Linked DNA regions of Caenorhabditis elegans. The protein of the gene in region 1 purifies or fractionates together with the protein of each later gene. This does not show direct contact. Each region holds a gene or a part of one and is shown in the gene's direction. Other genes may lie near its edges.

The links. Proteins that work in one complex are often made in the same cells at the same time.
Region 2: the proteins of arl-8 (region 1) and dus-2 fractionate together in Caenorhabditis elegans (co-fractionation; one large-scale study listed by BioGRID). This does not show direct contact.

The regions. Positions count from the first base shown.
Region 1 is NC_003282.8:14,796,441-14,802,960, forward strand, and holds arl-8 (ADP-ribosylation factor-like protein 8B), read left to right. Parts: upstream 1-1,708; 5' UTR 1,709-1,738; coding exon 1,739-1,861; intron 1,862-1,909; coding exon 1,910-2,297; intron 2,298-2,344; coding exon 2,345-2,391; 3' UTR 2,392-2,787; downstream 2,788-6,520. Other genes in the region: nuo-3 (NADH dehydrogenase [ubiquinone] 1 alpha subcomplex subunit 6), read right to left, coding at 78-200, 249-521; Y57G11C.1147 (Protein BRICK1), read right to left, coding at 524-633, 694-742, 945-1,010; Y57G11C.14 (uncharacterized protein), read left to right, coding at 2,905-3,063, 3,841-4,032, 4,093-4,209, 4,254-4,355, 4,405-4,563; Y57G11C.1142 (uncharacterized protein), read left to right, coding at 6,176-6,210, 6,292-6,319.
Region 2 is NC_003279.8:14,714,508-14,722,317, reverse strand, and holds the start of dus-2 (DRBM domain-containing protein), read left to right. Parts: upstream 1-4,080; 5' UTR 4,081-4,099; intron 4,100-4,638; coding exon of another isoform or gene 4,639-4,752; intron 4,753-4,799; coding exon of another isoform or gene 4,800-4,922; intron 4,923-5,166; coding exon of another isoform or gene 5,167-5,243; exon of another isoform or gene 5,244-5,482; coding exon of another isoform or gene 5,483-5,555; exon of another isoform or gene 5,556-5,720; intron 5,721-7,287; exon of another isoform or gene 7,288-7,565; coding exon of another isoform or gene 7,566-7,697; intron 7,698-7,760; coding exon of another isoform or gene 7,761-7,810. Other genes in the region: sol-2 (CUB domain-containing protein), read left to right, coding at 42-147, 192-397; K05C4.2 (Protein jagunal homolog), read left to right, coding at 979-1,287, 1,337-1,597; Proteasome subunit pbs-5, read left to right, coding at 1,856-2,259, 2,311-2,645, 2,847-2,962; Y54E5A.8 (Conserved plasma membrane protein), read right to left, coding at 3,333-3,430, 3,807-4,080, 4,639-4,752, 4,800-4,922, 5,167-5,243, 5,483-5,555; gid-1 (B30.2/SPRY domain-containing protein), read right to left, coding at 7,566-7,697, 7,761-7,810.

The DNA.
Region 1 (6,520 bases):
TCTAGTATCAGCCGATTCGATTTAAAATACGAGAATTTACTTTACAATTACACATAAAACACTGAAAAATAAAAAATCTATTCCTTTCCGTTGAGGAATTTGGAGAGGAAGTCCTTTGGCTTGGCTTCGACATTTTCAGCGAACAGGTAGTTGCGCACGTGATCCGGGTTGTAGAATGCGTAACGGATCGATTTCATGTGCTGAAAGTGACAATTAGAGTTTAGAAAATTTAAATTTTATTCAAAAACCTGATGAGTTTCTCCGACAAGTCTGTCAACGACACGAACATCGGTGAGATGTCCGTTCTTTGTGAATTGCTTCTTGATGACAGCACGGAACACGCCGAGCGGCATATCATGAAGTCCGAAATCCCACCAGAACTTTGGAGTGAGACGTTGGAACTCCTTATAAGCGGCGAGAACCGACATGCGTGCCTCGGCGGAATTGTTGGATTTGATTGGAGCGACGGTGCGAACGGCGTGTTGTCCGGCACGGACGACTCTTCCGGCAGTTGCAGACATTATTACGAAAGAGTATCTCCTTTGGTGACACGGGCTTCAAGAAATTCGACCTTTCGTTCCAAAAGGTTAAGCTTGTCGCTGAGAGTCGCTAGTTTTGTGCGGCAAGAGAGCTCTGGAAGAAATCAGATATTTTTTAAAGGAATTAATTTAAAATAATAATTTTTCTACAAACCAAAGCTGGACAAGAAGTTAGCGATGTTCTTGATGTTATCGGCAATAATCTGAAAGTTAGTACGGGTTAGTGTGGGAGATATGAATTCACACATGAATATTTGTTGTAAAATTGTATAAAATCACAACCTACTGAAGTGAAAAGCTATTTCAACACCGCAGTTAAAAATATTCAAAAATTTCAACAACCATTTTTAATCAATTTTCATTCACATTTCAATCGATTTCCATCATTTTTTTCCGTCTACTAACCTGCTCAAACTCGCGATTATCCCAGTCGTCCTTTAGTTGTTGTTGAACGGCTTCCGAAGCGTGCATTCAACGCTGAAAAGCTGAAAAACGGTGAAGGATGGTCGCCGGTGTGCCGCGTGCTGCGTAAATCGACACACTCGATCGCGGCGAAACCCGTCCTCGAAACTGCGTGCGCCTTTGATGTCAGCGGTCGTTCGATTGGCTCCTTGTCGCACTGATTTGGCTTTGGATTTCGTAATTTTCGACGGATTTTCGGGATTTTCTATCGATTTTTTGAGAATTTTCAAGGAAATAGACTGATTATTCATTAGTTTTTTCAAAAATTCCATACATTCATTGAGAATGGGTTAGACAAACGTAAATTCAGATTTTAGAAAATCGAGCAAACTGAGCAAAAAACTGTGTCCGCTTGAGAAATTTGTAAAAATTAAGACTATATTCACTGAAAACTCTTATTGCAATCCGATATTATCCAATGAAACTATCTGCTTTTAGCAATTCTATTGTTTTGAAACGTTTCTCTCAAAATTTTATAGACATCACGTGTTTTGTTGACTATTCTCGATGATTCATTGGTTTTGATTTCGTGAAAGTTACTGCAAAATAAATTTTGCGATAAGGAAAATCAATATTTCTACTTGTTTTTTTTTCAACAGCAAAAGCGAGCTTGCTCCAAAATTAATAGCGGTTTTCCGTTAAACCCTTCTGTTTTTCTTTGTGCTCTCTCACACACACACCCTTTTCAATCGAATTGCACTTTTCAGGAATTTCCTCATTCAACATCAATATTCAAGATGTTGGCTATGGTGAATAAGGTTCTCGACTGGATTCGCAGTCTTTTTTGGAAAGAGGAGATGGAGTTGACACTTGTTGGGCTCCAAAACTCTGGAAAAACGACATTTGTCAATGTTATTGCTGTTAGTTTTTCTGGAAAATAAATTTAAATTCAATGTTCTTCACTTTAGAGCGGCCAATTCACAGAAGATATGATCCCAACAGTCGGATTCAATATGCGGAAGATCACCAAAGGCAACGTGACGATCAAATTATGGGATATCGGGGGCCAGCCACGGTTCCGCTCGATGTGGGAACGATATTGCCGCGGTGTCAACGCCATCGTCTTCATGGTGGACGCTGCCGACGAGGAGAAGCTCGAAGCATCCAGAAATGAGCTTATGCAGCTGTTGGACAAGCCACAGCTCGACGCTATTCCAGTTTTGGTGCTCGGAAACAAGAAGGATTTGCCTGGAGCACTTGATGAGCGGCAATTGATCGAAAGAATGAATCTGTCATCAATCCAGAATCGCGAGATTTGCTGCTATTCTATTTCATGCAAAGAGAAGGAGAATATTGGTAATTTTTTAAATCTTTGAACCATTCTAAACTGAATTGTTTTCCAGATATCACCCTCCAATGGCTCATCGATCACTCGAAAGCTCAACGCTAAACTAGGCACAATCCACGACTCAATCTACTCGAAAATTTACAATTCACACCGCAAAATATATTAAATCAAACCTTTTTTTTTTGAAAATTCTGTAGATATTATTTATTTGAATCCCCTCCCCTCCATATTCAACTAATCTCTCTCGTCTTTTTCATCACAATTGTAGTCAATTTCCCCAACCCATTCGCTCCCAGTTTTATTTCTTTGGTAGCTTTCACTGTGGGATGTTCATCATCCCCATTCAAAAGTTGTGAAATTTCCCTCCAATTTTATGTACATGTTGTGTATCACTTTTTTGGACATTTTGCAACACCACTGCAACCATTCTCATTATTTTTTACAAATGTGCTTAATTCCTTAACTCTTCTTCACTCTTTTTCATAAATTGAAAATTTACTAAGGCATTTAGTTAACGTGTTGCTCTAGCATTGCAGCCTAATTTTTAAAATTCTAAAGTTGAATGAAAAAAAAGGAAATCAATTATTCCTTCAGTTTCAAAATTCGAAGCAAGCGATGGAATGTGTGAATTGTGATTGTACAGTCAAAACGATGGACAATTTGGATAAAGCGATTCGGGAACTGTTGCAACGTGGCAAACACGTCAATCGAATGATGGACAACGAGAAGATGATTAGAGAAGCTAGACGAATGGAAGAGGTTCAGCAGTTAAAGGTTTGAAAACTGAAAAACTCGGGTCTCGCAGCGATTTCTGGGGCGGTACTGTAATTTCTCCGCTTTTTTTCTCATTTTTCATGGATTTTCTTTATTAAACGAGAAAAATCGGACGAAAATCGCGAAAAACGAGATGATTGAAGTACAGTACTCTTTAAAGGCGCATGCCTCCTATTTTTGAGTTTCTCGATTGCGCCGAGACCAGGCTGCGGTATTGTACTTCTTAAAGGCACAAATCGATCGATTTTTGAATGTCTTTCGTTAAAAAGTCGATAAAAATCGAAGAAAGCATCGAAGAAAACGAAAAATTATATAAAATCGAAGAAAACGAAAATTATTTAAATAGCGGAAAATTGGAAAAAAATTGCAAAAAAGTAAGAGAAGTGGGGTACTGTATTTCTTGAAGGCGCATACACTTCTACGCAATCTACAATATAATGTTTTTTGTTCGTTTCGAGACCGAATTTGTGGAAAATAATAATAATAATTATAATAATTTATTACGCTCGCTGGGAGACGTGAAGGAATACAGAATACAAGAGTTATCATTGTTCGCTTGAACTAGAATTGGTGCAATCGGGCAATTGTTTCCATTCCATTAGAATGTTGTCCTTGTCCTTACGTTGTCCTTGCGTAGACTCCCCCATAGTGGGCGAGCGATTCCCGAGTGAAAATAATCACGGAATGAAAATAATCACGGAATCGTGAACAAAAACATTTTTTACGAAAAAAGTAGTTTTATTTAAAATAAAACTTAAAAAAAAAACAAATTTCCAGATGCAAATCCCGAAGCCTGTTGACAAGAAGCCCCGCTCATCGGAAAAGAACCTCAAGCTCATTTCATGTGAGGAAACTTGTATGGATGAGACGCTGAAAAACTCGTCAAAGCCACGTATTATCTTCAACAAACAGCTCGGACACGCCGAATCGATTGATTTCGATGTTCCATCGCTGTCTTATGAGAGTTCGGTAGGTTCTCTTGGTGGCCTAGTTTTCTCTTTTCCACGGCCACCGAAATTACTTTTTTAGGATAAGGGTGTCGTCGAGTCGACTACTTCGACGTCGGTGTCGAATCCGAAAAAGACGACTTCTTCTTCGATGTTCACCAAGTCGGAGGCCACTACAATTTCGGAGTTGACCACTTCTGTAAGCTGCAAATCTAGACAAAATCTACAAATTTACTGTTTCAGACGTTCAAAAAGGCTAAGAATCCATCAGGTGGTGCTCTTGTGTTGGATAATCATTATTTGATTAATAATGACGATGGAACTGTGAGCAAATTGCCAATGAAGGTAGGTCTAGGCGTGCCTGCCTACTGCCTATCTTGTGAAAATGTTCCAGATCTACGTGAAACAACATCTCGAAGATGGCTCTTTGGATGTTCAACTTGTATTTTTCGATGAAAACTCGCAAAAAGTGATGGATATTTCTATGTTGGTGAATGGGAAAAAGATCAAAGACGTTCAATTTTGTGGAAAAGACGCTAAACTTGTGAATTAGAACTTCTTTTTGTATTTTTTCGTAGAATTTTTCTGTGTGTCAAGTAAAAGGAATGCGGTTTTTTGTTGCTTTTTCTTCTGTACATTCCCAGTGTATTCCAACTCGCGCTCTAATGTGATTGGCGTCGACCAATCAGCGAGTTGCAAGGGGCGTAGCTTTCTCCTCTGACTGGTCGGTGTTGTGTCTGCTCGAGGGACAACATTTCATTGAGTGAACATTTCATCAACAAGGAATTAATTGAGTTAGATTCGTTACATTAGCACGTGATGTCAGGCTGTCTCATTGCGGTTTGATCTACAAAAAATGCGGCAATTTTTCCCCGGAAAAATCGTGACGTCAGCACGTTCTTAATCATGCGCAATCGGTTGATATATCTGCGTCTCACCTCCCGCATTTTTCGAAGATCAAAGCGAAATGGGACTTTCTGACTCCACGTGCATTAGTACATATTTGAAAACGTACCGAAACATGATTCATTTTTCCAAAATTTTAATTATTTAATTCGCCCAATATTCTTGTTTCCATCTGAAATACATTGTGTCTTCCCTGAAATTAAACTCCAAGAAAAAGAGGTTTCCGATGTCTATTATTGTTCTAAAAGCGCCCGATATCTTACAGGACACTGAAACTGAAATGCCAACAACCCGTGAGGTGTCCGCTGCTGTTGTGTAAATCGAAAAGTGACGGCATTGGGGGTATTTAATCACAAAACGCGGTGTTGTTTTTTGAACATCGTGATCTTCAAACATATGACTATTCCAGAGAAATAAATTAAAAAAAGTTTTGAAACGGAAACTTTTTTTTTCATTCTTGAACTAAACTTTGTTGCCGTTTTTGGCAAATTGCGGGTAGCTTATCTAGGTTTCAGGAAAAAACATTCCGAAAATTTTGTGCCGATTCTATCAATTATCACGATCCTTGTTGTTTCTCTGAAATTCTGCAATCACTATTCGGCCGACATTTTATGGGACGGTCAATTTAACACTCGAACTCGCGAAATGTCGGTCGGTGCTAGTATGCTAATAAAAAGTTATTGAAGGTCAAACCAACTATTGTTCCAAATGTTTCCTAATATGAAGCCATTAAAACGGCCGAATAAACCGAAAACTGTCAAAAAACTGCCCAAATTGACGGCTTTAAAACAAATTTCGACTGAAAATTATGAAAAAAACTACGACTTTCAGACGGTTCTGCTAGTTTTTACTTCAAAAAAGTGTTCAAAAGTAGTATATTTCCTGCTTTTGCTAGATAAAAACCTCTGAAATCTGAACAAAAAATTGGGGTTTTTTCAACAAAGCCCCAAAAAATGCTGAAAATATTGAAATAGTTGGCGTTTTTTTTGTAAAACAATCGATTTTTTTCGGTAATTTTGGACCATTTTGGGTCTAAAAAAGCCAAATTTTTAATTTCGGGTCTCCATCATGGCTGTCACAAAACAATTTTCGACAAAAAAAAACAAAAATTTTCTAATTCTCAAATTTCAGAACTCCACCGTTGAAATTTGGATACTACTTAATCACAGCTAAAAATTACAGGCACTGAGGTGGTCTACAACGATATCTATGTGGCTTCACCAACAGTGGGTAACATTTTAGAAGAGACAAGAGCCGAAATGGAAGCCTTGTTCTTGAATTCCACAAAAACCAGGTACGTTTGAGCTTAAAACGCCTCTGAACACCCTAGAGCCTCCGATGTCTATTCAATTAAGATTTAAAAAAATCATTTCAGATATGAATGGAAAGGGTACAGCAATTAATCTAATTGGTTGGGTCACCAACGTATGGCAATTATTTGGAGGAGGCCAGAACCGCCATGGAGTTGCTCTTTTTGAATTCGACAAAAACCAAGTACGTTTAAGCTTAAAGCCGGTGAACACCCTAGAGCCTCCGATGCCTATTCAATTAAGATTTTTAAAAAATTATTTCAGTTACGATTGGAGCAAATTCTCCAACAAAAG
Region 2 (7,810 bases), on another chromosome or scaffold:
GCTGAAATCCATGTATTTTCAATTACTTTTTTCTACTTCAGGGTCATGGAATTTGCGCTTCACGGTCCCGTCTCTGCATTCACAGCTCTCTCGTTTGTGACGGAATCCATAATTGTGTTGAAGGAGATTTCTCCGACGAGCAACACTGTAAGCTCATTTTCCAGTAAAATCCAAGATCTAAAAATTTCCAGGTTACTCCCGAGAGATAATAACATCGGCGGCACTCGGATTCTCGTTGATTGTGCTCACGATGCTCGTCTTGGTGTGCTGTGATCAGTTCAGGAAGCGGCGACGGCTTCGGGTGATGATTCGGGAACGAAGAGCCGCGTCGGAGAATGGGAAATGTAAAAATATGAATAATAATTCGATTACAACACGGATACAGCCGAACCGGTGACTATTAGAGAGCGAATTGTGAATGTTTTCGCGATTCGCTCGACAAATTTATCGAATTTTTCACAATTTTATAATTTAAAATTGCTTTTCAGTTAATGTAACGGAGCTTTTTTCTTTTATTTTTAATTTGAAACTTTAATAAACATTATTCAAACATATAAATTATTTACTTTCGACAATTTTCAAGTGTTTTGCCTGGCAGAATAGAAAGAATTATGGAAATATTAATTCTTTATCAGCGGGAAAGTAAAAGAAAAATAACGGCAACTCCGTGCGGCGATATTGCGAAAACCGCGCGCGCGCATTGCAAAGGGGCGGAGACTCGTCTTTTTGTCATCTTTTGTCATCACTAAAACTAACTAAAACAAAATTTTCTATATCTTTCGCAGGTTTTCGCTTTTTTAACGAGTTTTCTCATTCTTTCTATGGAAATACTGATGAATGTGTAGAGTTGGTCGATATTGGGACCTGTGAAATTTATACTTTCAGCTCAGATGTTATTCTTCGCTGTTTCTTCTTAATTTCTCTTTTTAATCACTTGAAACTCAATTATATCTTTATTTCAGCTCACTTCAAGCGGGAATGTCATCACGAGGAGTTCGAGCGGCGGGTACCGATGGGACGGACTTCCAAAATCGGCAGAGGGTCGCACAGCACTACCAGGAGAGCGCTCAATACAAGTCGATCCTCAAGTGGTTCTTCGTTCCACACTTCTTGATCCTGGTCTTCATGTGGCTCAAGGTTGGCAGCGAACTCCTCCGAACAAATTTCGGATGGAAAAACGCGTTCTTCGATCGACTGGACATGCCGTCAGCCTACCCATGGGAGTATGTGTGGTGCTTCTCATTCATTCCGATCGTCCTCGCCATCTATTCGTTCCAACGAAACAAAGTAATTTATTTATTGATCAATTTGCCACAAATATAACTTCTTATTTCAGCTCAAGATCCTCCACTACGCCTACTATGCCGAGTTCGTCGTCGGAATCTTCCCATGCATGATCGGGCTTGGAGGACAACTTCCAGAGCTGATGGAGTATGCTCAAGACATGGAGGGAAGCAACACACCGACATTCAAAGGAATCTTCCCGATGGTCATCATATGGTACATCTTCTTCGCGGTCGCACTCCAGATTCACGGATTCTCCATGTACTTCATGCATCACCTTGCCGCCGCATGGGCTCCAGTCAAGCGAGATTAAATTTTCTCCGTTTTGTGATATTATTTTTCAATTTTCCCCCATTTGTTGAGTTGTGTACCTTTTCCTTGTTAATAGTATTTTTATTCAAATTCCTGCTAGTCTCTATTGCCAAATTAATAATTCCATATCTTTTATTTATTTTCTTACTTTTTCTAATTACCGGTTACTGTTCTACAGTTCCGTTGATACTTTTCTGTTTCAATATTGATTGCATTTGTTTCATTTTGTTAAATCAATTTTCAGAATCGAACTCCAAAGATGTGGGGCGAGACATTCGACGATTTCGAGAATGACGAAGGAGAGATGGCAATGGCCAAGCAGAACCTGATCGCCGAGCCGGCTCGAGCTGATTTCACTTTCGCGAAGCTTCCGTTGGGAATCCAGCCCGTCGATTTCATGAAGACTCACTTCGCCGAGACCGCCGGAAAATCCATGCAATTCCGCAAAGGAACCACCACATTGGCGTTCGTCTACGAGCCAGCAACTCCAGCTGACAAGGGAGGAATCATTGTGGCTGTCGATTCACGAGCCTCCAGTGGTGAATACATCTCATCCAAGTCGGTCATGAAGATCTTGGACATCGGAGATCGTATGGTTGCCACGATGGCTGGAGGAGCTGCTGACTGTCAGTTCTGGACCCGAATTGTCGCCAAGTACTGCACGTGAGTTTCAATATTTTCAGCTTCAAAACAAAAATAATTATTTATTTTCAGTTTGTACGAGCTCCGCGAGAAGACCTCAATCACCGTGAGCGCCGCGAGCAAGTACTTTGCAAATACGCTCTATGGATACAGAGGACAAGGATTGTCAGTTGGATCGATGGTGGCCGGATACGATAAGAAGGGACCACAAATCTTCAAAGTCGACTCGGAAGGAGATCGTTGCCAGCTTAAAGTGTGCTCAGTTGGCTCAGGATCTCTGAATGCCTACGGTATCCTCGATAATCACTACAAGCCAAAGATGACGGACGACGAGGCCAGAAAGCTCGGCCTGCGTGCGATCATGCACGCCACTTATCGGGATTCTGGATCCGGAGGCGTCTGCAATTGTACGTGAAGCTTTTTGCTCGGCTATTCCACAAAATGGACCATTTTTCACTAAAAATGGCTTTTATTTTGTCTAAAATTTAAATTTTAGACGATTTTTATTCGAAAAAATTCTTCGGATAAATGAAAAAATTGGTTCATTTTGTGAAATCTCCGGCCACCTTTAATCTAATCGCTTCTATTTTTCATCCTCCAAATTTCAGTGTGCCACATCACGCCAACCGAAAAGATTCGTCTTCCACCAATGGACGTGAGCAAGCTGTGGTACGAGTTTGCCGATGAGCTCGGCAGAGATATCACCTACAACCCAGTCGAGTGATTCAATTTCCCTACGCTGAAATTAATTTTATTCTTCTTACATGTATTTGATGTCTGATCCGATCCCGATTTTTTTTACATACACACCCGTCTTTAAAATGTCATTTATTTCTATTTTTCGTTTCCAATTAATTTATTCTTCTTTTGCTAAATACTCTCTGTACATTAAGTTCTAAAGTTTTCAAGTTCGAAATCCCGAATTTAGGCTTAGAATTTAGAATTTCCCTCGACAACAGGGGTGGCTGGAAGAAACTCTCAATCACATGGCACAAATTGGATTTTTGGAACATTAATATCAAGTAGTTCTAGAGGGATACTGAGATGGAGTTACACTCAAAAGTTTATTGCAATTTTCGAATGTGAAAATCAAGTTAAAGCGATATGTGTCGGCTGGGTGTTGATGACGTGGTGATTATAACAGCTGGAGTCCCATTAGTGTTCCGCCACGCAGGGCCTATTCGTGTTCCAGCTGGAAATAGTTTAATTGTGCTATTATTTGAATTGTTTTTTTCCATTAAAATTGAGAAAAAGTGCGATTTTAAGAGTAATGGGTATCAGTAGGATCTAAATATTTTAGCTACCGTACCCAGGAATATTTTGCAACTTTCTCTAATTTTTTCGACAGCTTTGGATTGTACAGTTTTGGCTGAGAAAGTCAATGGGTAGTTCGAAATTTGCCAAAACTAAGTTTTCCGTAGATCAAACACAAAGGTTGCGCGCCAAATATGATGTTTTGAGTCCTCAATCGGAAAGTACGCAAAGACACACAAAATGCATCAGATTTGACGCGCAAACTTCATTTTTCTTGTTTGTGAAAAAAATATAATATTTTTTTAAAAACTTACAGGACATAGAAGGTGCCACAGATGCCCGTTCTATAAGCTCAATTTGCTGCTCTCTCCGCCTGGGAAGCATCGGACGGCGGCTCTCGGAGCCCACACTATCGCCAGCTTTATTATATATAATGGCACTGGAACGATCGAATTGTGGCTCCTTTTGCATATTATTTATAAAATGGTAACAAGCGGTAAGCATGACGCCCATGAAAATTCCAATGCAGAAGAGTAATCCGACAAGAATCCACGGGAAATCAGATGGCTTGAAGGAATAGGAACTTGGCTGGAAAAATCGAAAATTGGTAAGTGGTCAGCATGCGCGCTCTAATGTTAAAAGAAATATAAATTGTTGGTGTTGGGTCCTGCCGTTATCTAAATTGATATAAACATTTAAGCTACCATAGTCACGAATATTTTTTTTTTTTTTCATTTTGTTAGAATATTTTCGTCGTACAAACCGATAATCGGCAAAATTTTTAAAAAAGTTAAAAACTCTGTAACCGCGCTCCAATGATAAATAATAGAATTGTCGGGTCCCACCACAATCGAATCTTTTCATCTACCTTGAAATTTGCATAATAACAGAAATTGGAAAATTATTTGAAATTCAAAAAATATCTCATTTTTCAGCGGGAATTGGAATTTTACGGAAGCTGGCTTTTTCAGAGTCGATGCACCATGTGCAAAATTTTGACAGGGGATATCTCTTGGTTCATTTTGAAGGTACCAACAAATTTTTAAACTGCAAAATTATCTTTAAAAATTTGGCGTCAAATGTGGTGTATTGTGTCCACAAAGGAAAAATAACCGAAAACACTAGATTTGACGCGCAAATTCTCACCGTAGACGTTTGCTCTTTCTTCTGCGTAGGCGGTGGTGGAAGTGAAGCAGAAATGACACGTGAGCCACCTGGTTCGACGGCTTTCCAGTAGAATTCTTTGTTATTTATTTTTTCCTGTAAAAATAATAGTTTTCGATTTAAAAAATATGAAAGAGACAAACTTTAAGCCTAGGATCGGCGTCTTTTCCCATACTCTGAATAATTTCGGCCGCCAATTTCGGTGTCATTTCTTTTCCGCCACGTATCTCGTAGTAGTTCGTACCGTACTCATTGTTTCGTACCGCCTGAAAGTTTGAAATTAAAAAAAAAAAACGAAACCCAAAAAGTTGCACGTGGTGTCAGGCTGTCCCACTACGGTTTGATCTACAAAAAATGCGGAAATTTTTTTACAAAAAATGTGACGTCAGCCCGCTCAATGTGAAATTAGTTGAAAAGTCTGCGTCTATATTTCTGCGATTCTCGTAGATCTACATTGATCAAACCGATATGGGACATTCTGACACCACGTGTAGTTGTAGTAGAACTCACACTGTAAGTAGTATTTTCTGGATCTTCAGCTTCTGGTTTTTGGGAGAGTCGGACACTGAACACGTGCACAGAACAGTCTGCAAACTTTATTTGTTGAAAAAATCGCTTCGAGACCTAGAAAAAGTGCGGTATAGCGTAATTGCATACTTCGTTGAAAATTGCATGTCAAACATTGTGTATTGTAACCAAAAATCGCAAATTTGAAATCCCGTAAATATTTCGCTTCTTTCCAATAAAATTACTTGAAACTCAAATTTTTGCGGCGAATTGTAATGTGAACATCATGTTTGACGCGCAAATTTAAGAAAAAACGAACCATTAGGCGGCTGACACTGTGGAATAACAACAGAAAGTGCCGAAAGTACGGCGGTAAACAGAATAAGTAACATTTTCGGCTTTCTTCTCGAAATTTCAAAAATCATCACCGAGTACTACGGTGAATCATTATAGCTATATTGGTTTTAAAAATTTGAATTTGATTTTAAAAAAAGTTTTTTTTTGGAAATTCGTTTTTCTTTGAATAACAATCACAGTGCCGATGAAGAGAAGGAAAAAACCGAAAATAATATATAAAAGAAGTTACACACTCTCAGATAGACAGAAAAAGAGACATACATACACATTGATAAGGAAATCATCGGAAAATTGAGAGTGAGAGTGAGAGTGAGAAAGAGAGAATTAGAGACAAATAGTTGTAATTGATTGAGAGAGATTTGATATGTGACTGGTTATTTTGGTGGTCTAGAATATCAACAAAAAAAAACTAGACCTAAATTAGCTTGTTCCATAGCCGGAGACAAAAATTGCGCGTCTAATGTGGTGTTTTGGTGCGCAACCGGAGAGTACGCAAACACTGACCAAATGCACCAAGCGGAGCCTGCACTACAGTAACATAATTACTTATATATAAAACCAGACGCTGACCGCGCCCCCGGCGCATCCAACTGGCTGGAATAAATTTCAAATACCCCTTGAAAATAGCAGTGCAATTTTGAAATTAATTTGATTTTTTTGAAAATGAAAACTTTCAAAGTAACGGTAATTTTGCGTGTTGGCATAGCCTACATTGGACGGAAGGAAACTCTACTTTATATATATTATTATTATTGAATACGTTTATTTGAACGTGAAAATAAGAGAAGAAAAAGGGGAAAAAATATAAATTATATTGAATATTGTGGAATAATACAGAAAAGTGGGAACGGGTTGAGGCCTTGTTACATAACCTTATCATTTATTAATGTGTCCAAAAAATAGGGATAAAGTCTGTGTCTGATGAACGAAAGTTAAGAATGATTGCTTTTTGCAGGGTTGAACACGATGAGTGAAAAAATGAGTTCGCTTTTAGGAGTTTTCCACCTGTAAGCGTGGCTGTTCCTAGTTCTTTCAGAAGGTTTGAACTCAAAAAACTGTGAATGATCTATATAGTAAATGATAATATAGCACGTGGGGATTATTAGGGGACATGGTCGGGGTATTGTAGTAGCAATGTAGGGGTACTGTAGGATTACTGTAGGGTTCCTGTGGTTTTAGAAAAAATGAGTTTTTGTCTTTTGCAGGGATATTGGTATGAATGGGGAATATGGTTGGGGTACTGTAGTAGTACTGTAGAGGTACTGTAGGATTACTGTTGGATTACTGTAGTTTTAGAAAAAAACATTTTTGTCTTTACAGGGATATTGGTTTGGTGGGGGGATATGATCGGGGTACTGTAGGATTACTGTTGGATTACTGTAGTTTTAGAAGAAAAAAAAGTTTTCGTCTTTTGCAGTGATATTGGTTTGGGGTTAGTGGGGGATATGATCGGGATACTGTAGTAATACTGTAGGATTACTGTGGTTTTAGAAAAAAAAAGTTTTTTTTGGCTTTTACAGCGATATTGATTTGGGGTTAGTGGGGGGACATAGTCAGGGTATTGTGGTAGCACTGTAGGATTACTGTAGTTTTGGAAAAACTGACTTTTCGCCATTTAAAGGGTTCGGTGTTAGTAGGGGAGCAATTGTGGAAAGAACCATCTTTCCGGGAATTCAAATTTTCTGAGAAAGAAAACGTTCTAGAAAAAATGGAAATTTCTAGAATTTTCTTGAAGGTCTGCAAAACTCCAGGAAAATGCGAACGGCTGGTAAAATACAATTTATTTGCAATAATAATTTTGAGATAAATTTAATTTATGGCTCTTTTCGTTTCGATGCCTGAGTTGATTATTCAATTGGGGTGTTCCATGGGAAATCCAAATTTACAAAAAAAGGAAATATATACAGTTTTGTAGAATTTGCGCGTCAAATGTGGTGTTTGGGTCCGCGATTGAAAAGTACGCAAACACCAACCCAATACACACAAATACATCAAATTTGGTGCGCGAGAATTGCAACAAAAAAAAATTAAAGAAAAATCAAAAATCAAAATTGAAATTCATTTCGCTGCTGACGAATAATCTCTCGAGGTGGAGGATCTGGCCGCTCGTGAGCCAATTCCATGGGCTCATCCGTATAGATTATCTCTTTTTCATTGAAGTTTGGCTCCTCGAGAATCTGAAAAAAAAAACTTGTTAAAATTTTTCAGGTTGCTGATCTGTAGAAAAATCAAAATCCTACCATTTTCCGGACGAAATGAATTCCAGCCATTTTCTTGTCATTAGTCGAAT